Linked DNA regions of Struthio camelus. Each later gene encodes a partner of the first gene's protein in a complex. Links are inferred from orthologs where the notes say so. Each region holds a gene or a part of one and is shown in the gene's direction. Other genes may lie near its edges.

Evidence for each region.
Region 2: POLR2E (region 1) and UBTF share a complex: the UniProt entries of both Homo sapiens proteins name them as parts of the pol I pre-initiation complex. The link is inferred for Struthio camelus from reciprocal best matches to the Homo sapiens genes POLR2E and UBTF.
Region 3: POLR2E (region 1) and POLR1H share a complex: the UniProt entries of both Homo sapiens proteins name them as parts of the pol I pre-initiation complex. The link is inferred for Struthio camelus from reciprocal best matches to the Homo sapiens genes POLR2E and POLR1H.
Region 4: POLR2E (region 1) and RRN3 share a complex: the UniProt entries of both Homo sapiens proteins name them as parts of the pol I pre-initiation complex. The link is inferred for Struthio camelus from reciprocal best matches to the Homo sapiens genes POLR2E and RRN3.

What each region holds. Positions count from the first base shown.
Region 1 is NC_090967.1:7,260,583-7,267,959, forward strand, and holds the start of POLR2E (DNA-directed RNA polymerases I, II, and III subunit RPABC1), read left to right. Parts: upstream 1-4,376; 5' UTR 4,377-4,528; coding exon 4,529-4,585; intron 4,586-5,019; coding exon 5,020-5,194; intron 5,195-5,752; coding exon 5,753-5,868; intron 5,869-6,334; coding exon 6,335-6,415; intron 6,416-6,640; coding exon 6,641-6,699; intron 6,700-6,887; coding exon 6,888-6,966; intron 6,967-7,377. UniProt on the Homo sapiens protein: DNA-dependent RNA polymerase catalyzes the transcription of DNA into RNA using the four ribonucleoside triphosphates as substrates.
Region 2 is NC_090966.1:4,609,384-4,616,700, forward strand, and holds the start of UBTF (nucleolar transcription factor 1), read left to right. Parts: upstream 1-4,315; 5' UTR 4,316-4,544; intron 4,545-4,610; exon of another isoform or gene 4,611-4,710; intron 4,711-4,939; exon of another isoform or gene 4,940-5,156; intron 5,157-5,631; exon of another isoform or gene 5,632-5,742; intron 5,743-5,836; exon of another isoform or gene 5,837-5,932; intron 5,933-7,317. UniProt on the Homo sapiens protein: Recognizes the ribosomal RNA gene promoter and activates transcription mediated by RNA polymerase I (Pol I) through cooperative interactions with the transcription factor SL1/TIF-IB complex.
Region 3 is NC_090977.1:793,336-800,736, reverse strand, and holds the start of POLR1H (DNA-directed RNA polymerase I subunit RPA12), read left to right. Parts: upstream 1-4,392; 5' UTR 4,393-4,483; intron 4,484-4,510; exon of another isoform or gene 4,511-4,712; intron 4,713-5,726; exon of another isoform or gene 5,727-5,738; 5' UTR 5,739-5,740; coding exon 5,741-5,870; intron 5,871-5,983; coding exon 5,984-6,084; intron 6,085-7,401. Other genes in the region: MGAT1 (alpha-1,3-mannosyl-glycoprotein 2-beta-N-acetylglucosaminyltransferase), read right to left, coding at 266-1,582. UniProt on the Homo sapiens protein: Core component of RNA polymerase I (Pol I), a DNA-dependent RNA polymerase which synthesizes ribosomal RNA precursors using the four ribonucleoside triphosphates as substrates. Can mediate Pol I proofreading of the nascent RNA transcript.
Region 4 is NC_090956.1:11,723,181-11,730,605, reverse strand, and holds the start of RRN3 (RNA polymerase I-specific transcription initiation factor RRN3), read left to right. Parts: upstream 1-4,412; 5' UTR 4,413-4,616; coding exon 4,617-4,709; intron 4,710-5,239; coding exon 5,240-5,296; intron 5,297-6,466; coding exon 6,467-6,556; intron 6,557-6,645; coding exon 6,646-6,775; intron 6,776-7,281; coding exon 7,282-7,341; intron 7,342-7,425. Other genes in the region: transmembrane protein 238-like, read left to right, coding at 318-327. UniProt on the Homo sapiens protein: Required for efficient transcription initiation by RNA polymerase I (Pol I). Required for the formation of the competent pre-initiation complex (PIC).

The sequences.
Region 1 (7,377 bases):
CATTGTCCCCTGGTTCCTGAGGAAGGCAAAAGACAGGGCACTCTAACATAAGCCTCTTCCCCTTTCAGCACAGAAACTCCATGGCTCTGCTGGCATGCGGATGTTGTATGGGCTCCCTCTCGTGTACTGGGGAGGCAAGCAGACCCCAGCTAGCCAAGCGGATCCTCAAGACCAAGAGCTGCCCTTGTGTACGGCTCCAGGGCAGCCTTCCTGCTGCTCCCACATACCTGTTTTCCAAACTGGTTGCAGGGAAAGGCCAGGATGCGTAAACCTCTCTCAGCGTATCTGGCGTACAAGTCAACGAACTGAGTGTAGTTTACATCCGTTTTGCCTCATTTTGAAGCAACATTGGTGATGATGCAGACAAAGCCCCTGGAAAGAAAAAGAATCAGAAGGAATTCCCGTAACAGGGCTAGGCAAGCCCCTCACGTATGCTCTCTGTGAAGGGTGCAGCAAGAAGGGAAGGCAGCACAAAAAACAAGCTGCTTTCTCTGTAGCCTTTCTCATGTTATGCAAGCTCCCTTTGTGGCTTAGTCACTGCTGCCTGGTGCAGCTACTAAGGACCTTTGAACAGCACTCCCCCTCGAGGGCTCAAGGGCACCACCTCCCCCCTCCCATGCTTGTGTACTGCGTTATTAAGGACAAGCCGATTCCAGGCCGTTCACTCCTACCTGTATTTCTCCAGAGAGACAGTGTTGCCGTCTATGTCTTGGGCATGGAAGTCATAGATTGATTTGGCAGTGCGCCAGTCATCTACTTGGGCACACTGCAAGAGAGCCGAGAGCTGCTGTCAGCTTCCCTCCCCAGCAATCCCAGCAGCACGTCCTCTCCAGCTTTAGGTGAGCTCAGCTCCAACAGGAGACCAGCAGTGAGCCATGTCACAGCAATAGGTTGTGCCTGTGCCCCCATGCTGATGGCTCGCTGTCTCTGTCCCTCCCATCCATAGCAGCTCCCCTCTCTACTCGTTGCTCATGTCAGGACTCGTGAAGCAGAAGCTGAGCGTACCCAGGAAGGCAAGTGTCACACACTCTGGTGGCTCCCTGCTGTCAGGTGCCCCAAATGAGCCACGTGCTCCATGTCAGCTGGTCCACCCACAGGGTCATGATAATCCAGCTAAGTTACAAGTTTCCCAAACTACAGTTTCTTAGGTCTTCTTTTCTCCTACGCAGCACAATGTAAAACTTGCAGTAAAACTTGCACGTTATTGATGTTGCTCCCTGCTAGGTTTAACAACCCCATGATTCATCCTGGGTGCTTCAACTGCTGGAGGAGCACCCCAGGCAGGGCTTCGGTTTCCAGAGCCTCCCCCCACCACACCTCTCCCAGCATTTCCTCACCCTGTGCAGTGACGGCTGGACAAGCACAAAATTAGAAGCTTAAGCACAGATCCTTGCTGTACGTGCCCCAGGCCCTCATGGAGTCCCAGGCAGGGGCCATCCTGGAGGCCTCCCCCCCGTCGGAGGAGCGGGTCTCCCGCCCGGCCCAGGCAGGCCGCGAGCACCGTCCCCAGTCACCACCAGTTTGTGCCCTGGCCGGACGGGGGGAGCAGGCCAGGCCCTGGCAGCGCCTGAGCACGGCTGGCTTCTGCTCCTCGCTCCCTCCCTGAGGCAAGAGCTGCTCCCCGAGGAGGAGGAGGAGCAGGAGCAGGAGCAGGAGCAGCAGCAGCAGCAGCAGCTCCTGCCGCACAACGGAGCGCTGCAGCCCGGCCCGCGCCGCCGCCCACCCGGCTCCCGGCGGGTTCATCCAGCCGGATTCGGTCCCTTTTTTTTTTTTTTTTTTTGGGGGGGGGGGAGGGGAGCTGAGCTGGCAGCTGCTCCGGGCCCACCTCCGCGCACGGGCAGATCGGGGCGGCCGCCGGGCTGCGCAGCGCTGCCGCCAGGCGCGTGGCCCGCGGCGGCCACCGTCCCGCGCGGGGGTCCGCCAAAGGCGGCCGCCACTCTGCCCTGGGGATAGGCCGTCTCTATGGTCACCTCACTGAAGGGCCGTTACGCGCTTCGCCTCCTCCAGGGGCTGAGGCGGGTGGACACCGACATCGACACCGTGCCCGGCGCCGCACCTCCCCCCCCCCCGCCGGCACCGCCGCGCTCACCATGTTCCCGCTCAGCCGCCGCGCCGCCACCACCCCGCACAGCAGTGCCCGCCGTGACAAGTGACCCAAAACCATCGCGCCGCCACCGCCTCCCGCCCTGAGGCCCGCCCCCTCCGGCGGCTCGGCCAATCAGCGCGCGGGGAGGCGGCACGGCCCAGATGATGGACGGCGCAGCTGGCCAATCGCAGAGCAGGCAGGGGGCTGTTTGGCCGCAGCGGTTGTTTATCGGTTAGGCGGGACGGACCACGAGGCGGGGGGGGGGGGGCAGGGACGGACCACGAGGTGGGGCGGGGGGTCCCCAGTCACGTGGCCGCGCCGGTGCTCGGCGCTGCAGGCGCCGCCGCGGGGCTCCCTTGGGCCTGGGGCGCCAGCGGTGGCCCTCCCGCGGCACATGGCCCGGGGCTGCTTGGGTCTCGGTGCGGGGATGGTGGCGTCCATCACGGTGCAGGGTTGGAGCATTGCTCACAATTCTTGGTTGGAGCATTGCTGACGGTGCAGGGTTGGAGCATTGCTGATGGTGCAGGGTTGGAGCATCGTTGGCGGTGCATGGTTGGAGCATTGCTCGTGGTGCAGGGTTGGAGCATCGTTCACAGTGCAAGGTTGGAGCATCGCTCGTGGTACAGGGTTGGAGCATCGTTCACGGTGCAGGGTTGGAGCATCATTGGCGGTGCATGGTTGGAGCATTGCTCACAGTGCATGGTTTGGAGCGTCACTGGTGGTGCAGGGCGGAGGCTGCCGATCACTGCACCCTTGGGCTGCACTGCCTGGGTGCCTGCAGCCACCTCTTTGCAGCTGGGTGCAGGCTGCTACAGGTGCTGCCTGCTCGCGGGCCAGTGGGTTTGGGGAACGTCCTTGGGAAGCAGTTTCTAGCCCCGTGACTGAGCTGTGGCTGTGGGGCTGCGGTGTGACGGCAGACGGGAACATTTTCCTGTGGCTACTCAATGCCTGGATCCAGGAGGGCACCGGGAGCAGAAGAGGCTGCAGATAAAAGCATCTCCCGCTCGCCACAGTCTTGGCTGCTTTTGGTCTTGGTCTTGGGTTGTGGCTCCCCACGGACAGCCGCTGACGCTGCTGGCTGTCAAGGACAATTAGCTGTAGGCCGTTAACTTTAGACCAGCTCTTAGGAGTTAAAATCCCTCGTCTTGCTGCTGAGTGGAAACTGGAAAACTTGAAAGGTCCTGCCGAAACGAAGGGAGGCACAAAACACGGCTGAGCCCACGCGGCGGGGCTGAGCTCCTGTCCTGCCCATGTTCTTTGAGCCAATTTGTAGGGCAACGCAAGCACTGAAAAACGTGAAAGAAAGGGGGGAAAAAAGGGGCTCTCCAGCTGGGATAATTTGGGAGAACACGAGATTAAAGGAGGCAGATCCCTGACCAATAGTTTGTGTCTTTTTTTAGTGCTTTGTTAGGCAGGATTAATGACGGCTTGTGATTAGAGTTAAAGGCGGCAGGAAAAGAGCCTCAGCAGGCGGATTGTTTGCAGAGGGTTGGATTTCTGTCTCTGCCAGTGAAGCTTGCATCTACGTTGAATAATATCCCCCTTCAAAGGAGTTTTCTACTTGATCTGTGTGCAAAATTGGTAGATACTGCTACTGACAGGTTGTGGTCTTTTGATGTGTCCTGGGCTGAGAAGCTCAGAGCTGTAATTCAAACTGGCAAAAAAATTGTCCCTCCGCCCTGCTGCAAAGAAGAGATGTCCTTTGCTGTGGCAGAGGAGGCCCCCCCACCCCAATCAGGGCCGTCCCCACCGGGGGTGTCACTGTCACGCGTCTGGGCTTGAGACTGCTCCATTGTGTTGCAAGAGGATTTGTTCTGTTTTTCTCTCCCCGATTCGTTCTTGCCACACCGTCCCCAGCTGCAGGGTGGCCGGGAGGGGTCAGGCATGGTGACAAATGGCCGCACAGGCCGCTGGGGGGACTGGGCAGCCCCCGGGCTGGGGCCTGGGCACGCAGAGCTGGTGGTCCCAGGCCCCCTGCCCTGCCCTAGAGCCTCTACTGTGCCAGGCCCAGGTCGCTGACCTGCCCCAGGACCCCCCCGCCCCAGACCCACCCCAGACCTGCCCCAAGACCCCCCTGCCCCAAGACCCCCCTGCACCAGGACCCCCTGCCCCAGACCTGCCCCAAGACCTCCCTGCTCCAAGACCCCCCTGCCCCAGGACCCCCTGCCCCAGACCTGCCCTAGGACCTGCCCCAAGACCCCTTGTTTCAGGGTCCCCTCCCCAGCCCCCCCCGGGGGCCCCCGCCCGCCAGGGGGCAGCAGCGGCGAGGCGAGGCGAGGCGGGGCGAGGCGGGCGGGACTACACCTCCCAGCAGCCCTTGCTCCCGAGGCCCCCGCGGCGGCCCCGGCGGCCGCCTGCAGCGCCGCGCGGCAGGCGCTTAAAGCGGGCGCCCCAGGGCCGGCGGGGGGCTTTCGGCGGCGGCAGCGCGCGTGCGCGAGGGCCATGGACGACGAGGAGGAGACCTACCGGCTGTGGAAGATCCGCAAGACCATCATGCAGGTGCGGGGCCGGGGCCTGGGGGACCGGCGGGCCGAGAGGCCCGGGGCGGGAGCCTGGGGGCGGCCTGGGCCTTGGAGGGAGGCTGGGGCCGAGCCGGGTGGGGGGAGAGGCGAGGCCCGGCCCGGCCCTCTGTTCTGCTCTCCTTGGGGAGCCATCGCGGCGGGGTCCTGGCGTTTGGGACTCTCTCGGGCCCGCCTCGGAGCGCTTGTCCCCCTTCTCCGGGGCGCGGGCAGGATTGCGCTGTGCTAAGAGCTGTACGGAGTTTTCGTGGTGGGGCTTGATGGTTCAGCAGTGCCTGGCGCTCTGGTGCGGGCTCCGGCAGCAGCAGGACTTGTGTTTGGAGCGCGAAGGGTGAAACGCTGCGTGTGGGAAGTGAGCGGAGCTGTGAACACGGGTTACCTGTTGTGTGTCTTAAGTGAGGATGTTCTCTGCAGCTTTGTCATGATCGGGGCTATCTGGTGACTCAGGATGAGTTGGATCAGACCCTGGAGGAGTTCAAGGCCCAGTTTGGGGACAAGCCTAGTGAAGGGAGGCCGAGGCGCACTGACCTGACAGTGCTGGTGGCTCATAATGATGATCCTACTGATCAGATGTTTGTTTTCTTCCCAGGTAAGTGTGACACAGTTACCATATGTGCAGTGAGCTTGGACTTCTCAAAACTGTTAACTCAGGCACCAAGGAATATCTGCTGCTGTTGCGTGTTACCTTTTTGCCTCACACTGATAGAAGCTGTGTGGAAGGGATGGCTTGGCTTTCTGAAAGCCTGATGTGACTGTGCTTCCCCAGCGCTCAAAAACTCACTTCTAATGAAAGCCAGTTCTTCCTGTTCTACTGGCATGAAGCCTTTCAGAAAGCTTATTCTGTCCTGCAAAATAAATATCTTGGTGTGGTAAGCTCCAGCTGGGTTTTCTTTATTTACACAACATGCCTTATTCCACTGGGTTTAACAAGGCAAAACATTCCATAAGTTTTGCTGTGTATGACTGCAGGGGTGACTTCTGCAGCTGGTAGGCTGGATGCAGAATGTTGTGCAAAAAGAAAATACATCACAGAGTAGAATGAATGAATATTTGTGCATAAGTGTATCACTGGCTGCAAAACAAAGGCTATTAGAATGTGGATTACTGAATGCATGTATCGTGATCATGGTACCTCCCTCACTCCTAGAGGAGCCCAAGGTTGGAATAAAGACAATCAAGATGTACTGTCAGAGGATGCAGGAGGAGAACATCACCAGAGCGTTGATTGTGGTACAGCAAGGCATGACTCCCTCAGCAAAGCAGGTACAGAGAACCCTTTTTAAAAAAAAAAAAAAACAACCTGTCTCACGGTCCAGAGGGCAATTGTAGACTATGGATGTTTTGCATGTTTGTTTTGCAGTGCTGCTTTAGATTAATAAGAATGTTGAATTTTATTTCTGAGAAAATGTTTCACTAAAACCTGTTGTCCCTTAACGCAGGGGACATGTCTTGCTTAACATGCAAATGTGTTTAACCAGAACAACTGGCTCTGATTAAAGAGAGCTTTCTAACTCTGGTTAAAGAAGAAGAGAGGGCCTACTGAGGTTTATGAGAGGAGAGGAGATACTTGCCAGCGGTGACAAGGTCCGTTAGCAGTTTGCTGTGTAGCTCTAACTGTGTGAGCACAAATGTAATGATATCCCTTGCAATGTGATGTTTATTGAGCGCAGGTAGGACTGACCTCGAGCAGTGCCCTGTGCTGCAGTCTGACATGCCTTTTCCTTTTCAGTCCCTGGTAGATATGGCTCCCAAATATATCCTGGAGCAGTTTCTGCAGCAAGAGCTCTTGATCAACATCACAGAACATGAGGTAAGTTGTGCTGGCAGTGGAGCAAAGGCGAGGCAACCAGTCTCTCTGCTGAGCTGCAGACCATCACCTAGCTTTTAGCGATCTTCTGTTTGGAAGGTCAGGCTGGGTGACACAGCAGTAGTTGTTCTAGTTTTGCTTACCCACATGTTCCTTGTCCTGCTGCTGTGAGGAGACTTTTGGTTTCTCTGGTTTTCTAATCTTGGAACGTCTCTCCTTTGTTTACAGTTGGTTCCAGAGCACGTGGTCATGACAAAGGAAGAAGTAACTGAGCTACTAGCCCGATAGTATCCTTTGTTTGTTCCTTCCCTCCCTGGGTGTGATTCATACTTGCTTTAAGTTGAAAATGAATACACCTCTGAGTGTGACAATGTACTAGTCGGTTCTAATAACCGTGCCCGTTCTTAAAACAAATGGGTACCTGAGCCAGTTGCTTATGCTGCTGATAGAGCTCTTCCTTGACTGTCCTGTGCAGTAAGCTGAGAGAGAACCAGCTCCCACGCATACAGGCTGGGGATCCAGTGGCCAGGTACTTTGGAATAAAGCGAGGTCAGGTAAGAGTGACACAAGCTGGTGACAGGCAGCAGTTCTCTATAGGCAGAGCTGTGATAGTAGGGGGTATTGATGATATTTCTGAACCCCAAGAGAAGGGAAGGGCCTTTCTTTCCCATGGGAAAGCTGTCGTGGTACAGAGACTTGTGTAAGCTGGGCAGGCTTCCAGCAAGGGGAGACAGCTGTGGCCATTGAATCCTCTGAGGACCAGCAGATGTGACTCCATTCCCAACCTTTGACTGCCCTGCACTTGAAGGTGGCACTTCTATGCTACGTTCCAGCCACAGGCCTGAAGCTTGGTGCCCAGTGTCTCTGTGGCTCCTGAGGGTTGCAGTGTTGCAACTGTTCTGTCTGGGTTTGAGTGTGTATGCGTGTCTGGCAGGGAAGCCCTGCTGGGGAAACTTGCCACCAGC
Region 2 (7,317 bases), on another chromosome or scaffold:
CTGTGACTAGCTAAATAACAGGGCTCGGACCCCGCTGGCCGGTGAGCCACCTGTGTCACCCAGGGCCAGCAGCAGGGCGAACAGATACCAGGATGCGCTGTCCCAGGCAGAGGCACTGGGCTGCACTGGTCCCAGGCAGGGACACTGGGAGGCACTGGTCCCAGGCAGGGGCACTGGGCAGCACTGGTCCCAGGCAGGGGCACCAGGAGGCACTGGTCCCAGGCAGGGGCACCAGGAGGCACTGGTCCCAGGCAGGGGCACTGGGCAGCACTGGTCCCAGGCGGGGGCACCAGGAGGCACTGGTCCCAGGCGGGGGCACGGGGCAGCACTGGTCCCAGGTGGGGGCACTGGGAGGCACTGGTCCCAGGCGGGGGCACTGGGCAGCACTGGTCCCAGGCGGGGGCACCGGGAGGCACTGGTCCCAGGTGGGGGCACGGGGCAGCACTGGTCCCAGGTGGGGGCACTGGGAGGCACTGGTCCCAGGCAGGGACACTGGGATGCACTGGTCCCAGGCAGGGGCACTGGGCAGCACTGGTCCCAAGTGGGGGCACTGGGAGGCACTGGTCCCAGGCAGAGGCACTGGGTAGCACTGGTCCCAGGCGGGGGCACTGGGCAGCACTGGTCCCAGGTGAGGGCACTGGGCAGCACTGGTCCCAGGCAGGGACACTGGGATGCACTGGTCCCAAGTGGGGGCACTGGGAGGCACTGGTCCCAGGCAGAGGCACTGGGATGCACTGGTCCCAGGTGGGGGCACTGGGAGGCACTGGTCCCAGGCAGGGACACTGGGAGGCACTGTTCCCAAGTGGGGGCACTGGGAGGCACTGGTCCCAGGTGGAGGCACTGGGATGCACTGGTCCTAGGTGGGGGCACTGGGAGGCACTGGTCCTAGGTGGGGACACTGGGATGCACTGGTCCCAGGCGGGGGCACTGGGCAGCACTGGTCCCAGGCAGGGACACTGGGAGGCACTGGTCCCAAGTGGGGACACTGCGAGGCACTGGTCCTGCTGTCAGAGAACAGCCCATCACCCTCATTGGGGGGGGTCCCTGCACCCCTCGCCCTGGCCGAGGGGGTCCCCGCACCAGGTCCCCCGCGGGCCTGCCAGCCCGGCTGCTGGGCCAGCTGCCCCTTGCCCGGGGCGGTCCGGCAGAGCGGCGCCGCGCCGCCGGTCACCTTGGGAGCCGCCAAATATAGAGGCGCCGGGGCAGCGGGGAGGGCAGCCAAGGCCCAGGGCCGCCGCGGGCAGGAGCGGGGCCGCGGGCGCGTAGGGGCCTCGCCGCCGCTCGGCCCTTTTCGGGGCCTTCTCCTGCCTCCCCGGCCGCGAGCACCCGCGTTGCAGCAGCGCCCGCTGCCCGCGCGCCGGGCTGCTGCCCCGGGGTCGCTCGCCCCGCCGGGGTGGCCGTGGGGTCCCCCCCCCGCCGTCGCAGCGGGGCCCCCCGGGCCGTGCCTCCCGCCGGCCACGCTCCACCTCCGCCCGCCCCGAGCGGCCGGGGACGCATGTGCAGAGCTCCGGCTGCCAAGGCCGCGGCGGGCGGCGGGGGGGGGAGCGGTGGCGCGGCGGGGGCCGAGGCCGAGGCGGGCATCGGCGGGGGGGAGGCGGTGGTGGCGGCCCTGGCGGCGGGTTTCGGGGTGGCCGAGAGGGTCACGGCGCAGCCTGGATGTGGAGATGGCGATGGCAGCCCCCCCACCCCCCGCCCTGGTGCAGACCGCTCCGGCATCAAATTAACCCTGATTATACATAATCTCGTTAGCGATGGCAAGCAGGGCGGCACAGGACAGCTGCCTGCACCCCAGCTCTAGATATAGGGCTGCGGGGGGGGGGGGTCCGAGCGTTTCCTTGGGGAGGACATTGGGGTCCCCGAGGGCTCTCCAGGGCTAAGCGGGACCCATCGCTACACCCAGCTTTTCCCAGACCGGCTCTAAACCCGACGCGGCCGTTCCCGCTTTTTGCAAACGGCCGGAGACAGATGGAGGTAGGTGGCCAGCGTTTTCCAGCCCGGGGCCGGCAAATCCGCTGGCCGGCGTCCCTCGCCTGGGCCGGCCGTGCTGGACACCGTCAGCAGCTCTGCGCCTCCCAAACCGCCTTTTTCCCCACCTGGGTGTGCTGCCGCTAGCAATTTTTCACGCCGACTGGTGCAACCCCTCTGCAGCATCGGAGCTGCCCGCGGAGCTGCCCGGTGCGGCGCGGGGCCGCGGATGCGCACCCGCGCCGGCACTGAGCCCGTGGGCCTGCATCACGCGGCAGGGGCTCGCACCCGGCTCCGGCCGAGCGCCCGCTGACGGCAGACGGAGCCGTGGCCCAACATCCGCAGCATCGGCGTGAAACGCTCTGAAAGCCGGGAGCCTCCCAAAAACGGGAGAAGCAGCAAAGAGCCTGCAGGCCTGCACGCACCTTCGCATGCAATCTTTGTGCTTTTGGCAGCAAGAATACCCACGTGTACAAATAACAGCGATTAAAAACTCCCTTTGCAAGCAGAAAGTCCTCTGGCGCGGAGGAGCGCGCAGCAGAGCAAGGAGGGGAGCGTTTTGAGCAGGTGTTTGTGCGGCGTCTCCGTTTCTGCCAACCTGCTGCAGGTTTTTACGGCCTGTTCTCACGCCTCACGTTCCCTTTTTGGTAGCAAAAAAATATAACCGCGTTTCAGGCCGTCCGTGACTGCTGATCACTGCTAGCTGTGCAGCAGCTAGAGCTAGCTGGGAGTTTCCCATCCAAAATGGCTTTTTGGTTAGGAGGCATCGTCGGCTTGCAGCGGCGTGGGAGCTTTAAAAATAAAACAAAATAAAAAGGGGAAACGGGCATGTTGTTGAGGTGAGACATCTGCTAGGCTTTCTGAAAGCTGCTTTCCACTCAAATGGGTCTTTGAGAGATGAAAAAAATAATTAAAGATTAAAAATGCCAGCGTTCGAATGTTTGGCCTGATTGTCTGTGATTTCTTTTTTTTTTTTTTTGGTAATTTTCCCCCTCTTGCAAAACAGTGACATTTCACCTAATTTAGAACAGGAAAACCAGCTCAGCAAAGCGGCCCTTTCCACGCAGGATAAATATATACGTATTTTTTTTTTTTTTAATCTTTGGCCAAAGGGATTAGCTCCGCGGAGCCGCCTGGCACGCCTCGGCGGCCGTGCCGGCTGGAGAGCAGGCCTGCGCGGCAGCGCGGCAGCCGGCGGAGGGGCCGGCCGGCAGCTTGGCCGGCTGCTCTTCCGCCTCCGACTTTCGCCTGCAAGACAAGGCCCGAATAAGCTGCTTGCGTCAGCCTGGGAGGGGGCCAACTGCACCTGCACTTGGGGGCTGTTTTTCCCCTTTCCTTGTAGAGAGCGGTGAAAAACCCGCCGGATTTTGGCTGTATTTCCCAGGCGAGCGGACGGAGAGGCGCCTGCTGGCATTTCCGCGGCGGTTGCAGCGGCGGGGCTCTACCTCCCTATCCCACGGGGTCCTGGGCAGGGGGGGTTCCCCACCAGCTCCCGACCCCCCGAGCCCTTCGGCAGGTGCCGGCGGGAGCTGCCGGCGCGCAGGACGGCCGGGAACGGCGGTGGCACGCCAGCGGCCCGGCGCGGCCGGGAAGGCGCCGAGCGCCGGGGTGGCCGGGCACGGCCGGGAAGGCGCCGAGCGCCGGGGTGGCCGGTGAGGCGCAGACAAACCGGGGCAGCCGGTAGTGTGCGAGCAGCCTGGGATGGCCCGTAATTTGCAGGCAGCTTGGGATGGCCGGTAATTTGCAGGCAGCTGCCCGGCCGGGATTGGCTGCGGGGAATGACGCCCAGCACAACAAAGGTGGAGTTGGAGAAATTGCATTAAAAAAAATTAAGAGCGAGAGAGAAGGAGAAAGGGAGAGGGGAGCGGAGGGAGGGAAGGAGGGGAGGAAACTGCCCCTCGCCCGCCCCGCCGGGGAAATCCCCGAGCGTGGCCGTGTCCCGGGCGGCGGCGGCCGGGCGCCCGGGGCCGGGAGCGCGGCCACAACGCCGGGCGCTGCCCGCCCTCGCTGCCCGGCGCCGGGGGTGGCCCAGCGGCAACCCGCGGGGTCGGAGGGGACCCACCGGGGCGGGAGGCGGCTCGGCTTCCCCCACCCCCCGCGCTTCCCACCACCACCACCACCACCACCCCCCCTTTTTTTTTTTTTTTTTTTTTTTATGCAAACGCCAGGAGAGGATTGTTGCACATGTAAGGAGATTTTTTTTTTTCCTCCCCCCCCCTTCCCTCCTCTCTCCTTCCTCCTCCTCCTCCTCCTCTTTTCTTCTCGCTACAGTGTTGCAAAAGCAAAGAGCAATAAAAAACACAGTGAGCGGCGGTGGGAGCGCGGGGCGGCGGCGGCCGGCGGGCGCCGCTGGGGAGCGGCGAGGCTGGCGGCGGACCCCGGCGCGCAGAGCCCGGCTGATTGGAAGAGAAACGCAGCGCCATGGAGGCGGGGGAAGCGCGATCTCTCTGCGGGGACTGGAGCGCGTCCACGCCCGGGGCCAGCGCTGCAGAGCTGGCCGCCGTTCAACCGGCGCTCCCCGCCCCGGCCCCGCCGAGCCCCGGCCCCGCCGAGCCGCGGCCCCAGCCGCGGGCCCGCAGGTACGTGCGTGCGCCGGGGGAGCGGAGCGGAGCCGCGCCGCGCCGCGCCGTGCCGTGCCGCGCCGCCCGGGCTCGCCATTCGCCGCCGCGCCGCTCCGCCGGCGGGGCTGGAGGAGGCGCTTTGTTCCTCCCCGGGCTCCCGCTGCCGCCGCGCACCGGGCTCTCGGTAAGGCGCCGCCGCTCCGATCGCAGCGAAGGTGGAGGGGGGGGGAAGATTTTTGTGGCGGTGTCGGTGGAGGAGAGAGGGGGGAGGAGGTTGATTTAGATTTGTTAATTTTTTTTTTTTTCAAAAAAATTTTTTTTTTCCGCTCTCCGGGGCGGCCGCGCAGGCCCCGCGGGCAGGAAGCCGCCGCCGCCGTCGGGGCTCGCTCGCTCCCCGCCGCGCCGCGCCGGGCCGGGCCGGCGGGGGGCACCGCGCTGGGGCTCGGCGCGGGGGGAGCGCTCGGCTCGGCGGCCTCGGTGCCCCCCCCTCCTCCTTCCCTTCCCTTCCTTCCCTCTCCTCCTCCTCGCTCCCTCCCTCCTTCCCGCTCGCCCTCCCTCCCTCCCCGGCTGCTGCAGCTGGATTTCGGGGGCAGGCTTCCAGCGCTGGGCGGTTGTTTTTCCCCAGCCCGGGTGAGTCCCGCGCCGCGGCGGGGAGCTCGGCGCCGCCCGGCCGCGCTCCGGAGGGTGCGTGCCCGGGCTCGTCCGCTTCCCCCCCCCCACCTCCGCTTTATTCCCCCGCTTTCTTTTCTTTTTTTTTTTCCCCCTTCTTCCCCTCTTTTTTTTTTTTTTTTTGTCTTTTTTTCCCCCCTTCTTTCTTCCTTTCTTCCCCCGGACCGAGAGCGGGGCTCCAGCCCCCCGCTGGGTGGGTGGGTGTTTCTGGGCTCCGCCGTGCGAGGAGGGGTCGGGGGGAGAGGAGGAGGAGGAGGGGGCGGCGGTGGTGGTGGTGGTGGAGGGGGGGGGTGGTGGGTAGGAGCCGCTCCCCGGGGGTCGGTGCGGGGAGGTCGCGCTGCCCTCGCCCGGCTCGCTGCAGCTGCCCGGCCGCCCCCAGCCGGGCATCCCCGCCCCCCCTTCCCCCTCCTCCTCCTCCTTCTTCTTCCCCCAGCGGCTCCGGCGGGGCTGGGGCTGCGGCGGCTCGGCGAGCTTCTCTCTCTTCCCCCCCCCCACCCCACCACCACCACCACCTCCCGCCTCCCCCTGCAGCCCGGAGCCTCGGGAGGTGGGTTTGTCTCGGCTTTATAACCGCGCCGGCTGCACAGCGCCCAGGGCGGCGGGCTGCGGCGGAGCCGGCGCGGCGCGGCGCGCCCCGGCGCGGAGCGGCGCGGAACGGCGGGCGGAGGCGGGCGCAGCCCGGCCATTGTGTGCCGCGGCGGAGAGCGGCCGCGCCGAGCCGAGCCCAGCCGAGCCCGGTAACCGCGGCGGGTGGAGGGAGGAGGAGGAGGAGGAGGAGGAGGGGGGGGAACCGCAGCAGCAGCAGAGAAGGGAGGGCAGAGCCGCGCCGCATTGCCCGGGCCCCAGCGGGCTGCAGCGCCCGGCGGCGGCGGAGGGGGCCGCGGAGCGGCGGCCGCATGCAGCGCGGCCGGGGGCGGGAGCGGAGCGCAGGGGAAGGAAGGGCAGGGCCGGCGGAGCGGAGCGGAGCGGGGAAGGGAAGAGCCAGCGGAGCAGCGCGGAGCAGGGCGGCGCGGCCGGGGGAAGCGGAGCCGCGGGGCGCCCGGAGCCGGGGCCGCTCCATTGTCTGGGCGGGCGGCGGGCGGGGGAGGCGGCGGCGGCGGCGGCGCGCGCTGGCGCCCGGGCGGCGGCGGCGGCGGGAGCCGGCGGCGCGGCGCGGCCGGGGGCGGGCGGAGGGGCCGCGGCCGCGGCGGGCAGGGAGGCGCCGCCGGGGCCGCCCGCGCGCGCGGGTCCCACCCGGTTCCTGCTGCCTGGCGGAGGAGGAGACTCGGCGCTGGCCGGCGGCGCAGGGCATGTGCGGCCTCCCCGCCTCCGCCCGCCCGCCGGCCCGGCCCCTTCCTCCCCCCCCCCCTCCTCCTCCTCCTCCTCCTCCTCCCCCCCCCAAACACACACTCCTTCCGCGGAGGAAGGGGGGGGGGGTTGGTTCCCGGTGCGCCCCCCCCCCCCCCCCCCGCGCCCGCGGTTCCCGGTGCGCGCGCACCGCGCATCGCCCCCCTGCCCCGCCCCGCCGGGATCCCGCCCCGCGGTCCGCCCCCCCCCCCCCCGCCGCCGCCGCTGGGGCCGGGCCTCTGCCCGGGGGGGGGGGTGACCCCCTCCAGCCCCCCCCCACTGCCGCCGGGGCCGGGCTTCTGCCCGGGGGGGGGGTGACCCCCTCCAGCCCCCCCCGCCGCCGCCGCCGCCGCTGGGGCCGGGCTTCTGCCCGGGGGGGGGGTGACCCCCTCCAGCCCCCCCCCCCCCCGCCGCCGCCGCTGGGGCCGGGCCTCTGCCCGGGGGGGGGGTGACCCCCTCCAGCCCCCCCCCCCACCGCTGCCGCTGGGGCCGGGCTTCTGCCCGGGGGGGGGTGACCCCCTCCAGCCCCCCCCCCCCCCCCACTGCCGCCGGGGCCGGGCTTCTGCCCGGGGGGGGGGTGACCCCCTCCAGCCCCCCCCCCTCCGGGGGTGATCCTCCCTCTCTTTCCCCCCCCCTCGGGGATGGTCCATCACTCCCCCTTAGGGCCTGCCCCCCCCCACCCCCAAAACTGCCCGCCAGCTCGGGTTCCCCCCCCCCCCCCAAGGCCTCGGGCCTGCGCTGCTGGGTGATCCCTGCCCGGTGCTCCATGGATTTCCCCCCGCCCCCCCCCCCCCCA
Region 3 (7,401 bases), on another chromosome or scaffold:
GAAGTGGAGGGGGGGGAAAAAAAACCCCAAAAAACCAACCAAACCAAACCGGGAACGAAACCCATTTGGGCGAGCGGCGCAAGAGCCACGCTTTGGTGCCGGTGGGGCTCCTCGTCTCCCCCCCAACTCCCCGGGCTGAAAAAAAGAAAAGAAATCCACCCGGTTCCTCCGGGCTGGAGCGCTAAAACGTGGTAAAACCAACCCGAAGCGGGAGGAAGGTTTGGTTGGAAAAACCAAACGAACCGAGAGGGGAGCGGGGACGCCGCTAACTCCAGCTGGGGTCGTAGCCCGTCCAGTCCGAGGGGGGCGCGAGGTAGACGCGCCGGCCGCGGTAGACGAAGCTGACGATGCCGCGGTAGCCGGCGCGGGGCACGCCGGATTTGAGGTCGTCCATGAGGCCCAAGGCCTTGGCGAAGGCTTTGAAGGAGTCGCGGCTCGTGTAGCGCACGCGCACGGCGCCCAGCTCGCGGCGCCGGTTGCCCTGCAGCTCTTCGACCCGCACCTCCGGCGCCGCGTAGACGCGGGGCAGGAAGGAGCGTTCGTACTCCTCCTTTTTGAGGTAGGAGAGGTCGAGCCGGGTGAAAGGCACGAAGCGGTCGTTGAGCTTGATGAACTTCAGGTACTGGTCGAAGAACTGGCCGTGGCTCACGCCTTTGCGACCGAACGTCATGGTGCGCGACACCTCCGGGCGCACGCACGAACGCTCCCGCCGTTGCTCGGGTTGCCTCATCCAATCGTCCCAAAACGCTCGAGGCCATTTAGGTTCCAGTTCGTCCCACAACTCGGCCAGCAGCAACCAACCGAGACCCGGGAAGAAATCGGTGCGGTAGAGCAGCTCGGCTCGCCCGGCGTCCACCATCTGCTCTTTGCCGTTGTCGTTCCAGGCCGAGACGCACCAGAGGCTGCGGTCGGCCAAGAGCAGCGGGAAAGTGGCTTGGAAATACTCGAAGAAATCCGGCGCTACTTCCAAGTCGTCTTCCACCACGATGGCCGCCCGGTAGCGGAAAGTACGGAAAACCTGTCCCAGAGCCCAACGGTAGTGACGGGCGATTTTGTAGTAACCTTGGAACTTGCGGTGTTCGGCGGGTACGGGCACGTCGCTGAGGTCGGGCTGCCGGATGTGAGCCACGGCGTCGCCGTACGAGGCGATGACGCGCGCCGTCTCGGCGTGCCCGCAGTCCTGGCTGACGATGACGGGGAAACGTTCGGGCGAAGGGCGGTAGCGCAGCAGCTTGTCCAAGCACCGGCGTACCGTGCTGCGGTCGCAGGCCATCACCAGCACGGGCAGGACGACGGAGGCGGCGGCGGGTGACGGCGGCGGCCGGGGGCTGCTGGGGGGAGGCGGCGGGCGCCGGCGGCGACCCCACAAGCCGCTGTAGCGGTGGATCTGGCGCAGCAGTTCCTTCTGCCGTTCCAGCTCGGCTTCGGCATCCTGCGCCAGGCGGATCACCTCCTCGGTGAGGCCGCGGCCGGGTTCGGCGCCGGGGGCCGCGGGGCGGCTCCAGAGGAAGAGGAGCAGCAGGCCGTTCCAAGCGACGAAGAGCGCCGCCCCCCACAGCGCCAGGCTGCTCTTCTTCAGCATCCTTCACCCGGCGGCCGCCCCCCCCTCTCTCTCTCTCTCCACCGCGCTCACGCCGCCGCCATGGACCTGCGGGCAAAGCCGAGCCGAGCGCCGCGTTAAAAACCTCTCGAAACCCCTAAAAAAAAAAGAAAAACCACCCAAAAAAAAAAAACCTCTCCACGCCCAACGCCCGCTCGAAAAACACCCCGAAGAGGAAGTCGCGAGAGGAAACAAGACGCCCCCGAGGTCCCCAGCGCCGAGGCCGAAAGTCGCCTGCGGTAGAAAAGGAGATGGGGGGGAAAACAACCCCCCCCCTCCCCGATCTGCCCCCAAAAACCCCAGCTGCCGGGGCAGAGTCCGTCCCCGTTAAAGGTTAACCTGGGCGCCGGGGCCGAACTCGCCGCCGAAACGGGGCGGGAAAAGCCGCCGGGGCGGTTTTAGCTTTTCTACGTGAAAAACTGAGGGGGATAATTAAAAAAAAAAAAAAAGGGAAAAAGTAAAGAATAACAGACCCCCCCCCCCCCCCCAAAAAAAAAAAAAAAAAACGCGAAGCTTTGGGGGAGCCTCCGCGGCGAGTTACTCACCCGGCCGCCGGCGAGCCCGGCCCGACTCCTGCCGTGTGGCGGAGGTAACACGTCAGCAGAGCAGGAAACGAGGGGGAGGGAAAAAAAAACAAAAACCGGGGGAAAAAGAAACCAGAAAGAAAAAGAAGATATTGGGTTACTGAAGTCAGGCAGGAGGCGGCCGTCCCCGGGGCGACTTTCTCCTCCGCTCGAGCAAGCGGCCGAACGAAAACTTCCGCCCCGGCTCCGGCGGGCGGCGATTTACGTTCCTGAAAAGAAGGAGGGAAGAAAAAAAAACAAACAAACCCGGACTCGCCGTCCCGCTGCCGTTTTGGGACCGGTTTTATTATTATTTTTTTTTTTTTAACCCTCCTGGCGGGAGGAAAAGACGCGGCAGGAGGCAGGTTAATTCGCTAAAGCCGCCCGGGGTGGGGGGGGGAGGTTTAAGCTGCTTTTCCTCGCCCCCGGGGTCACGTCGCGCGGCGGCAAAACGCCCCAGGGGCGAGGAAAAGTTTCCCCGCAACCTGTCGGTTCTGTTCAAAAGGGGGGGGGGGAAAGGATTCCCCCCCCCCACCCCGCTGCTTTTTCCGGCGGGATTTAAAGCCCGGCGGCGAAAGGAGGGGAAAAAAAAAAACCCAAAACGCGGGAAGGGTAAATAAAAAACCCCCGGCGCGAAGCTGCCGCCTTACCTGGCCGGCGCCGGGGGAGGGGGCTCGCCGGGGTGTCCGTCCGTCCGTCCGTCCGTTCCCCCCCCCCCCCGGCCAACGTCGAGGCCTCCGCGATCCGGCTCCGGGGTTTTTTCCGCGCCGGGAAGCGGATCAAGCCATGGGGGGGGGGGAAGGGGGGGGGAGGATTTGGGGTGGGGGGGGCGGCCCCGCCGGGGCCCCCGGCGCCGCTCGCGGCTGCTCTGCGGGGGGGGGGAGGGGGGACATGAGGGAGGGGGTTGGTTCCCCCTCTGCCCCCCCCCCAAATCCCATAGGGGACGGGGACCTTCCCCCCACCCCCCATCCCAGCCCTGTTCCCTCCTAAAGGGGGGGGCAGGGACCCCCCCCCACGCAGCCCTATAGGGGACAGGGACCCCCCCACCCCATATGGGAGAGGGATCCCTCCTCCACACCCCTATAGGGGACAGGAACCCCCCCTCCCCACGCAGCCCTATAGGGGACAGGGACCCCCCCCCCACACACAGCCCTATAGGGGACAGGGACCCCCCCCACACACCCCTATAGGAGACAGGAACCGCCCCTCGCCACGCAGCCCTATAGGGGACAGGGACCCCCCCCCCACGCAGCCCTATAGGGGACAGGGACACCCCTAACTACTTCTGTAGGGGACGAGGACCCCCGCACACACCCCTCTATACGGAACAGGGCCCTCCCCCACTCCTATAGGTAAGAGGGCTCCCCCCCCACACCTCTATAGGGGACAGGGCTGCCCCCTCCACACCTCTACAGGGGTCGGGGCCCCCATATAGACCTCTATAGGGGACAGGGCTCCCCCCCTCCACATACCTATATAGGGGACAGCCCCCCCCACCCCCTTATAGGGGACAGGGGCCCCACACACACCCCCTATAGGGGACAGGCCCCCCCCACTTCTATAGGGGATAGGAGCCTCCACACCCCCCCCTATAAGGGATAGGGCCCCCTCCACACACCTCTATAAGGGACAGGGAGCCCCCCACACCTCTATAGGGGACAGAGACCCCCTCACACACCTCTATAAGGGACAGAGATCTCCCCCAAACACCCCTATAGGGGACAGGGCCCCCTCCACACACCCCTATAGGGGACAGGGAGCCTCCCACACTTCTATAGGGGACAGGGGCCCCCTCACACCCCCCTATAGGGGACAGGCCCCCCCCAGCCCCCTCCCCTCCCCATAGGGGACAGGACCCCCCCCCCGACACCCCTATAGGGGACATGCTCCCCCCCGGGGGGGGGGGTCCGGGCCTCCCTCCTCCTCCTCCTCCTCCCCCCCCCCCGCCCCTCCGCGCCCCTCCGGTACCAGCGGCGGCTCCCAGCAGCGCCCGCCACTTCCGCCTGCCCGCGCCGGAAGTGGCGCCATGGCAACGGGCCCGGCCCCGCCCACCGCGGCGGCGCCGTCCAATCAGCGCCGGGCAAGGCCACGCACGCACGCACGCACGCGCGCTCCCCTGCGGGCGCTCCCATTCCCGCCGCCTCCCTCCCTCCCCTTCCCCCCCCCCGCGCGGCGGGATGGTACAGCCCGAGGGAGGGCGGGGCCGCCGGCCACGCCCCCCTCCCCGCGCGGCCACGCCCCCTCCCCGCGCGGCCACGCCCCCCTCCCCGCGCTCCAGCGCCCGCCCGCCGCCGTTTTTAACGTCTTTGGGGCTTTTTCGGTCGGTTTCGGGGTCTTTGGCGGGGTTTTTTCGGGGGGGGGGTCGAAGTTGTGACGGGGGGGGAGGGGAAACTCGCTCGTTCGTGCCCCGAGCGCCGCCGCCGCCATTTTTGGCGTCGCCTCAAGAGAGGGCGGGAAGGCGGCGGGTCACGTGGGTGGGGGCCCCTCCCCCCCACGCCGGCCGCTCTGGGCGCCGCGGCGGCCCCGGCTCGTCTCGTCTGCTCCGGGCGGTGGGACACGTGGAGGGGCGATGGGAGGGGGCGGGGGGCAATAGGGGGGGATGGGGGCAATGGGGGCAATAGGGGGGATGGGGAGGCAGTGGGGGGTGATGGGGGGCAATGGGCAGGGGGCAATGGGGGTGATGGGGGGCAGGGGGCCATAGGTGCTGATGGGGGCAATGGGGGGGTGGGGGCAATGGGGCAGGGGGCAATGGGGGGGATGGGGGCAATGGGGCAGGGGGCAATAGGGGGTGATGGGGGCAATGGGGGGGATGGGGGCAATGGGGCAGGGGGCAATAGGGGGTGATGGGGGCAATGGGGGGGATGGGGGCAATGGGGCAGGGGGCAATAGGGGGTGATGGGGGCAATGGGGGGGATGGGGGCAATAGGGGGTGATGGGGGCAACATGGTCAATGGGGGGGCAATGGGGGTGATGGGGGGCAGGGGGCCATAGGGGCTGATGGGGGCAATGGGGAGGCAGTAGAGGGTGATAAGGGGCAATGGGGGGCAATAGGGGGTGATGGGGGGCAATAGGGGGCAGGGGGTGATGGGGAGGCAGTGGGGAGTGATGGGGGCAATAGGGGGATGGGGGCAATGGGGGGGCAATAGGGGGTGATGGGAGGGCAATAGGAGCAGTAGGGGGGGATGGGGGGCAATAGGGGTGATGGGGGGCAGGGGGCCATAGGGGCTGATGGGGGCAATGGGGGGCAGGAGCTATAGGGGGTGATAGGGAGCAATAAGGGGTGATGGGGGGCAATAGGAGCAGTAGGGGGTGATGGGGGGCAATAGGGGGTGATAAGGGGCCATGGGGGGCAATAGGGGTGATGGGGGCAATGGGGGGTGATAGAGGGCAATAGGGGGTGATGGGGGGCAATAGGAGCAGTAGGGGGTGATGGGGGCAATAAGGGGTGATGGGGGGCAATAGGAGCAGTAGGGGATGATGGGGGGCAATAAGGGGTGATGGGGGGCAATAGGGGGGCAGGAGGCAATGGGAGGGGGGGAAAGGCACCCCTCTGCCCCCCCCAGCCCCCCCCCCAGCCATGGAGCCGCCGCCGTCCCGCTTCCAGTCGTGCCTGGACTTCTGCCCCGAGTGCGGGGCCGTGCTGCCCCGGCCGGGCCCCCGCGACGCCGTCTGCTGCGCCCGCTGCGCCTTCGCCCTCGACGTCGCCGGTGAGCCCCCCGGGGAATGGGGGGGGGGGGGGGAGCAGGCCCGGACGCCTGGGCCCCCCCCCCCCCCCCCCAAACCCGTTACCCACCGCCTGCCCCCCGTCCCCCCCCGGCAGATTTCGACGGCAGAGCCGTGCGCACCGCCGTCCAGTTCAACCGGCCCGAGCTCGCCGCGCCGCGGCCGCCCGAGCCAGCGCCGGGCCTCGACGGCCCCGTGGTGAGCCCGGGCGGCGGCACGGGGGTAAACCCCCCTTGGGAGGGGAATAAACCCCTTGGGAGGGGTATAAACCCCCCTGGGATGGGTATAAACCCCCCTGGGATGGGTATAACCCCCTTGGGATGGATATAAACCCCCCTGGGACAGGTACAAACCCCTTAGGATGGGAATAAACCCCCCTGGGACAGCTATAAACATCTTGGGAGGGGAATAAAGCCCCTTAGGACGGGTATAAACCCCTTAGGATAGGTATAAACCCCCCTGGAACAGGTATAAACCCCTTAGGATGGGAATAAACCCCCTTGGGACGGGTGTAAACCCCTTAGGTTGGGAATAAACCCCTTGGGAGGGGTATAAACCCCTTGGGATGGGAATAAACCCCCTTAGGATGGGAATAAACCCCCCCTGGGACAGGTATAAACCCCTTGGGAGGGGTATAAACCCCCTTAGGATGGGTATAAACCCCTTAGGATGGATATAAACCCCTTGGGATGGGTATAAACTCCCCTGGAACAGGTATAAACCCCCTTAGGATGGGAATAAACCCCTTAGGATGGGAATAAACCCCCTTGGGACAGGTGTAAACCCCTTAGGTTGGGAATAAACCCCTTGGGAGGGGTATAAACCCCCCTGGGATGGGAATAAACCGCCCTGGAACAGGTATAAACCCCCCCGAGATGGGAATAAACCCCCTGGGGTATGAACCCCTTAGGATGGGTATGAACCCCCCTGGGACGGGTATAAACCCCCCTGGAACAGGTATAAACCCCCTTGGGATGGGAATAAACCCCCCTGGAACGGGTATAAACCCCCTAGGTTGGGAATAAACCCTCTTGGGATGGATTTAAACCCTCTTGGGATGGGTATAAACTCCCCTAGGATGGGAATAAACCCCTTGGGATGAGTACTAAACCCTCTTGGGATGGGTATAAACCCCCTTGGGAGGGGAATAAAAGCCTTAGAATAGGAATAAACCCCTTTGGAATGGGAATTACACCCCCAGGATGGGAATAAACCCCCCTGGGAGGGGAATAAACCCCTTTAGAATGGGAATAACCCCCCCAGGATGGGAATAAACCCCCTTGGGAGGGGAATAAACCCCTTTAGAATGGGAATAACCCCCCCAGGATGGGAATAAACCCCCTTGGGAGGGGAATAAACCCCTTTAGAATGGGAATAACCCCCCCAGGATGGGAATAAACCTCCTTGGGATGGGAATAAACCGTTTTGGGACGGGTATAACCTCCCTGGGAGGGGTATAAGCCCCTTTAGGGCAGGTCTAGCCCCCCTTGGGAAGGGTTTAACGTCCCCCCCAAC
Region 4 (7,425 bases), on another chromosome or scaffold:
AAGAGAAAAAAACAGAAGAGACGCGAAGCTCTTTAGCTCAGGAAGACCCAGGACAGTAGGTGGAAGCGAAGATAATATCCTGAGGAGATACTACTAGCTTGCCATGTCCTTATGCCCTTCTTTAGACGTCCACTCTTGATCACTGTTGGAGACGAGCTACTGACTTGATGGGTCTTTTATTTGACCCCAGCTGGCTGTTAAACTTGTGGAAAAGTACTTTTCAGGCTGACTTCAAATAATAGTTGAGAGTTTTATATGAGTATTTATTCTAAGACTATTTGGAAGTAACTTTTTTTTTTTTAATATATTATCTTCAGGATCTGCTGAAGACACGACTGTTGAAGTTACTGCCTCTAAAAGTGGGGGAAGTGTTGCAAATTGTGGAAAGAGAATAACCCACTTAATGCAATAGGATTCTTTCATTATGGAATAATCTCTGTGACCGTCATGGACTCTGTATAAAACGGACACACAGTCACGTATCTCTGCCAGATGTACCTATTTCAGTGTTGGACTGCATAGTTTTTATTGTATTTTGCAACATTTCAAAACATAAACTAAATCTTTTAAGAAGTGAGAACTAACAAGGAAACAAACCTGATTCATAGAAAAATCACTGCAACATTTAATATAGAAATACTTTTTAATATACCCAGGAATGTTTGGATGAAAAGCTCTTGCACTGTCTTACCAAGGTCTGGAGTTCAAATTCACTGTGAACTTTTATGATGCCAGTGCAATACTTCTATTTGTAAAGTGCTTTAAAAATATCTATGTAAAACTATTGAAGCAAAGTTACAAACGTAGCATAAATTGTTTATAGTGTAAATACACAATTTATTGTGACTCTTAATATATTTCGTCATCTTGGAATAACTTAGAATTTGAAATTTTGTAAGTAACAAGTAAAAATAGTGTTGTTGAGATACCGTTTTTTTTTTTCTTCATAGCAGAAAATGATGTAATATGATCGCTCTAAGAGGAGGCTTTTTAATCCATTGATGTTACAGGAATTATTTTTCTAGTGCTGAAACATTCAGAAATCTATAGATTAACAAATGCTTTGCTTTACAAAAATCTTACCAAATCTACATGCAAACGTAACTGAAATTAGAACTAGCACGTGGGAAAAGATTTATATTACAGCTAAAGACGCGAGAAATCAAACACAGGAAATTCCACTTGAACGTAAGAAAACACTTTGAGTGACTGAACAGTGGAGCAGGTTGCCCAGAGAGGTGGTGGAGTCTCCATCCTTGGAGGTATTCAAACCCGACTGGATGTAGTCCTGGGCAACCTGTTCTAGGTGACCCTGCTTGAGCGGGGGTTGGACCAGACAATCTCCAGGTGGCCCTTCCAGCCCCAATTAGTCTGTGATAATTGTGCCTAAAAATTCTGTGTAGGAGAATTTCCTAATGAGTTCCTCTGTTTCTGAACTAACGCTAAGAGTTTGAACTTACCATTAGCAAATATGGGTAGGTCTTCCACTTCTAATAGACAACTGTTTTTATGCCACACCTAACTGAATATAGAGGTGGATTTAAGGAAAACATTTAGTAGGAAAACAGTGGCTCTACTTCCTTGTGAACTCTTGAAATGTCTTCCGACTTTCTGTTCCAAATAATTTGTAACTTTCTCTTGTACCTTTCTATGCATAGTCAATTTTAAAATGTTTTCCAAATGCTTTCAATCTTTCAACAAGTTTAAATAGATGCTAGACTTGAAGGTCTGTAAAATTTCAATTTCTTCCTTAATAACTGTAGCTTTTATAAGGTATCTAAAGTTGTTTCCTTTTTCTTTTAGAGGAACTGCAATGTGACACCAATATGTTGTTACAATGTGCTGTTTAAATAATCTCCTTCCCTAAAAACCTATAGATCATTGTTTCAGGGCTGTTCACAAGAAACACGTTCATTTACTTGTTCTGAACAGAGGTAACTGCTTGTACTGATCCCCCATAGTTTTGATCTGTGAACTGAATTATGAGATGTAATATTTAGTAAGTGGAATGATGAGTAGCAGCGATAATTTAACCCAAAACTTTTGTGGGTAGCCGTTCTCCTACTTACTGTAGTGATTAATCCCGAATCCAGCATTGGATACCCAGTGATAGTTGTGTAGGATGGTAGATAGAATATTGCCTGTTGTTGCAACCCCACTCAGCAACTGTGAGGGATTCCGATGTTTGCATTTATGAGTAGTCTACTGTGCGTGTCTTAACAGTTAAATATAAGAGTTGACACCTCAGAAAAGAAAGACCCAAGTTAATCATAGAAAAACACTTAAATGTTACTAGTAGGATGTGTCTAAATAACGATAAGATACAACATACTTGCATGGGAGCAATGATAACTATTGTAAGCTATCATACTTTTATTTTTTTTGAAAATGTAAAATAGTTCCTGTTTAATGTGGTCTATTTTTTATTTCCTAAATAAGGAAGACTGCAATAGTAAATAGAAACCAGCAAGTCAAACAATGATTAACTGTTAAACATTAGCATGTATTTAACACTATTTGAGCCTCCCAGGATCCTTATCAGTTGTAGCTCAATGCAGAACGAAGTCCATTCAAAGAACTTGTATCTTGTTTATGGGAGGAAAAAAATTACTTGTTCATTGTTAGGATTGCTTGTACTTCTGTGAACTCTGAATTTTGCATATACTGTGAGAATTCTTTCTAGACTTAAAGGACTGTCCTTACTCTATGTTTAAAAACAGCCAAAATCCGAAAGAACCCAACTCTGGTTACAGAAGTTTGGTTGTACAGGAGTTTTTTTTATACCTGCTTTACGCCTTAAAGCTTAGCTGAAAAATGGCATCCTATATTCCACTTCCTTACATGATAACTAAAGGAAAAAAGCCAAACCCTGATCTTGTAACCATAAATGAGTGAATGTTTGTTAGAATCTTGTATGTGGGCTACATCTGAAGAGACTTTTAATGCAATATATGCTGTTTACTTTCCTTAAACAGAAACATCTTATGAAGGGACAAATTAGTAAAAGTTAATTTATTAGTAAATTCTGCAAAAATCTCTTCTGTTTGATTTTTGTTTGATGGGTGTATTTGGGGGGGAGGCGGGCATTTGGTGGGAGGGAGATATTTATTCCAGTAGCAGTTCGTGTCGAAAGCAATAAGCTGCAGAAGAGAACAAAGGTCAAATAATCTCATGTTGCTGTAGCTGTTTTACATGTATTGGAGCAGGAAGCATTCAGCTGGATTAAAAAAAAAGTTTTGAGCAAATTGAATGTTACTGAAGAACTAGATGGAAAATGCCTGCTTCCTATTCATATTTATCCTGGTTGCTCTGAAAGCTATTGGAGGCTTTCACGTATAATTCTTTTTGAATTATATGTGCTGCTACGACCATTAATAGTATCAGCTGGCGTCTATCAAAAACATGGCCTTTGAAATAGCAGCAGCTAATGATTTTCTCAACAGCAATTTTTATATATACATATTGTTTTGAGAGGAAAAGCAGTTGTTAGCATAGAGATAGAAAAGTCCATAGTTTATTTTATATCATTCTTCAAATGCTGTGCTAGCAGTGTGGTGCTTTAATATAGCCCTAGCTTACAGGAAGAGGATGAAAAAGCCCAGAAAGCTTCTCGAAACTCTCTGCCTGTCCCTTTGCTCTAACAAACGCTTAATTGCTTCCCAAGGTCAAAATTTTTTTTTTTTAACTGAATTTTTCAGCAATCTTTAATCTTGAGTAAAAGGGATCATTTGACAGTTTTTTTTTTCCCTTGTTCTAGGCCGTAGTAGCACAGCTTACGATAAAAAAATAAACTTGGAAAAGTCTGAATTTACTAGCTGGCTGTTGCAATCTTGGTATCGCCAGCATGGGATCTCGATGTGCTTTGGGATGTGGGGACTTGCGACGGATCTGGCCAGTTCTCAGTGCAGCAGCTCGCAGGTCATCTCGTATTTCATGTCTTCAGGTATACACATAAACAAAAAGTCACTTGGCCCCAAATCAGAGATGCAGTTCTGAATGACGGACGGTGACATTGACATGACCTTGGAATTCTCTTTCCCTAGGCAATTCTCAAGTCTAACACTGAGCTTGAGTGTTTACTCGCACTGCTCTTTAATACCTTCCAGCTGTGAGTATTAAATGTCTACGACGGTGTTTACTTACCCGCAGGTATAGAAGGGAAAACCTAAGAAAACGGGGGCAGTAGCGACAGCGTTTTGCCCGGCGGGTATCTCCCCTGTCCGCTCGCCCCGGCCCTGCCGCCCCGCCCCCTCAGTCCGCCCGCACCAGCGATGCCCAGGCCAGAGCAGCAGCGGCCCCTCCAGCCGTGCCGCTCTATGGTGCGAGGGGCGGAGCAGCCGCCCTTTCCGGGGAGGCGAGCGCCCTTTCCGCCCGGGGCCGGCATGGGGCGGCGGCAGCGGCTGGCGGCGTGCGGGGGCCGCGGCGGCCGGCGCCGCCTCCGCCGTTAGCGGGGCGCGAGGCGAGGCGGCGCCGAGGGGCGGCGGCGGCGGGGGCGACGCACGAGGAGGTGCTGCCCCGTCTCCTTCGCGACCCGGGGGGTGGGGGCCGTTGGGACGCGGCCGTTGGTGCCGGGCGCTCGTGCGGCGTCGCCTCTCCTCAGGCGCGGGCCTGTGACCATGCTGGGAGGGGACGAGTTCATCAGCTCCCCGCCGAGGAAGACGGTGCGGTTCGGGGGCACCCTGACGGATATCCTGCTGAAGTACGAGAAGGTGATTATCGCTCTCTTTTCCCCGTCGTGGATCGCGGACGTGCTTGCGCAGCTCTTCGCCGCCTTTCCGTCGCGTGTGTTGCCATCCTGTTAGTTTGCGGCACTTAATTTGGACATGAAGACTTAGTTTGTCTTACACGAGAGGGTGTCTGGTGGCGTAGGAAAAAGAAGGTAGCTGAGTGCTTTGGGCATATGCCAGACTGCGTTGTTCTCTAAGTGAAACAAATTCCCCGACGAGTCTGTCTGAGTGACGCCTTTGATGGCTGCAAAGTCTGACTGATACCAGAGGACGCCAAGTGATCGCAACTGCCTCTATAGGGAGAGGAGCAGAAACGACCTGATAGCTAAAGCTGCCCTTCAGGGAGAGCGTTCTGTTACTTCTGCTTTACTTGAGCTTTCTCAGTTATTTGTGTCGCTGCTAAACAATGTCAGCTTGTTTAGATGTGCTGATGAAGCTTAGGTTTGTATTTTCTGGCACAAGTCCATAAACATCATTTGCTCTTTTTTTTTTTTTCTCTCTCCCCCTACTAGGGTGAAACCAGTGATTTTGAGTTGTTAAAGCATCAACTGTCAGATCCAGACATAAAGGTAAGCGTTTTTGTAGTGAAGGGTCTGATGACCTAAAGCTTAGTTACAGATGTGAGTGTAATCATCGGGCAAGTGATTCTGGTGTTTAAAGCAGTTACTGTTTTATTATTATTAATGGGCTTATTGCAAGTAGATCAGTTTAGAAAAGTGCCTGTCACTTGCCTAAATACTTTCCTTTAAACATTTAGCAGCATTTAACAGCTCTTTGCTTTGTGGGAACTATCAAAATTGAAAGTCCAAACAAAAAGCCAGCAACTGTCTGTTTACACAGAGACATGCATCTTATATGCATGACCTTGATAGGTATTCAAGCGACAAAAATGTCAAAAGCGACATTTACTATTTTTGTGCTCTAGAGTGGGAAACTTTTTGCTTTGTGCCAAGGGCCTGTCGCTCTATGTATGGATTACTTTCGTAGATCAGTCTGTTGTCTTTCCTTCTGACTTTTACAGCCTCTAAGTTACATTAATGTTTACTTCCTTCAGTTCTTATTAAATGTTTAATTAATTAGGCAGTGAGATGCATGTACATTTAGCGTTTGTACCCAGAAGTATTGTTTTAAGAGCTGCTCATTACAGCCATAAGTACCCATCCTGTCTGCCATCTTTGTTTCTTTTTTTTATTAAACCACTAAACTATAAGAAGCATGTTGCAGCAAGTATAATGCCAAATTGAGTTTCTCCTCTTTTTAAAGAGGATGTTGTGTAAAATTAATTGTTTTTAGCAGACTTTTCGGAGACTACAGGCAAAATCAATGTAATATTTCTCTGTAGATCTGCTGCTGTTCCACTATCGCTCTTATTTCAAGACTTGGATGGCCTTTCTGCTTAAACTAAGAGCAACAAGAAAAGAAAAGAGAATTAACATTCTCTGAGCTCCATCTCTTTTAAATATATTCTGTTTAAGTCCGGTTTGCATCCCTTGCCCAGACTTTAAGTTAAATATTTCAGGCAGGCTGTTGCTTTGAAAGATGCTATGCATTTATTCTTGCGTTGAAGAACTTTTATTAGTAGGGAGACAAACTTAGTCTGAGAAATTCTTGTCACATTAACGTGAAAATAATTCCTATTTACAGTCTTAATCTTTGTTTTGTCATTTTAAGGTTATTTTCTAGTAATAGGTCATATTATTTATTGAAATTGTTACTTGTTTTTTTCTGTTTATTTTAAGGATGCCCAGATCATTAATTGGCTACATGAATTCCGAGCTTCTGTTGCATACTTGACCAAAGATCTTGAACAACTGGTCAACATTTTGCTGGTAAATATCTGTTTGCTATATGCAAAGATTAAGAGTTTAGTACTTAAAATATCTCTGTGTTTGACATCTTCATCTTTACTTGCTTTCAGAAGCTGCCGTGGTTGAGAAGAAGCCGAGATGTAGTTGAAGAATATTTAGGTTTTCTTGGCAATCTAGTGTCAGCACAAACTGTCCATCTTAGGCCATGCCTCCGCATGATTGTATCGCAGTTTATTCCCCGTAAGTTACTTTTTTTAATTCTTCTTTACTGGCTTATCAAAATGTCTCTTTCCTAGATTAATTCTATTAGAAAACTAATCCATGCTAGAATTAATCCAATTATCATTTTTTTTCTGTTGATTCCTTTTTTCACTTCAATGACTGAATCGGAACACAGTCCATTTTATGTACCTTAGATTTCAGAACACACATTCTAATGGCTAATACAGTCAGATACCATTTCTGAAAATGTCTTGGAGAGGGGTGAACTGTATTATGTTGTTATAATTGAAAAAACAAATGCTGAGATGAAGATCATGTCAATGTTTTAGAGAACCTTCTGGCTCTATGAATAAAACAGTTGATTGCAATAAGCTGAATAAAAAGTCAATTATAGAAAGTCATGGGGATAATTTTGATGCTTTAGTTCCAATGAAGTCTGTCATCCAGTGTACTTTGATTTGGCATCAGAACTGTTACCTATACGATTTGTATGGTTTTACAATAATAATCTCACTTTTTGCTAGCTCGGATAACTATCAGAGAGGATGATGTGGACATTTCAGATTCTGATGATGATGAAGAAAGTGAGTATAAAGGAAGCATGGGTTGTGTATACTATTGTACTACCTTTAGTAAACAAGTGTAGCGTGCATGTTGGTTCTTTTTTT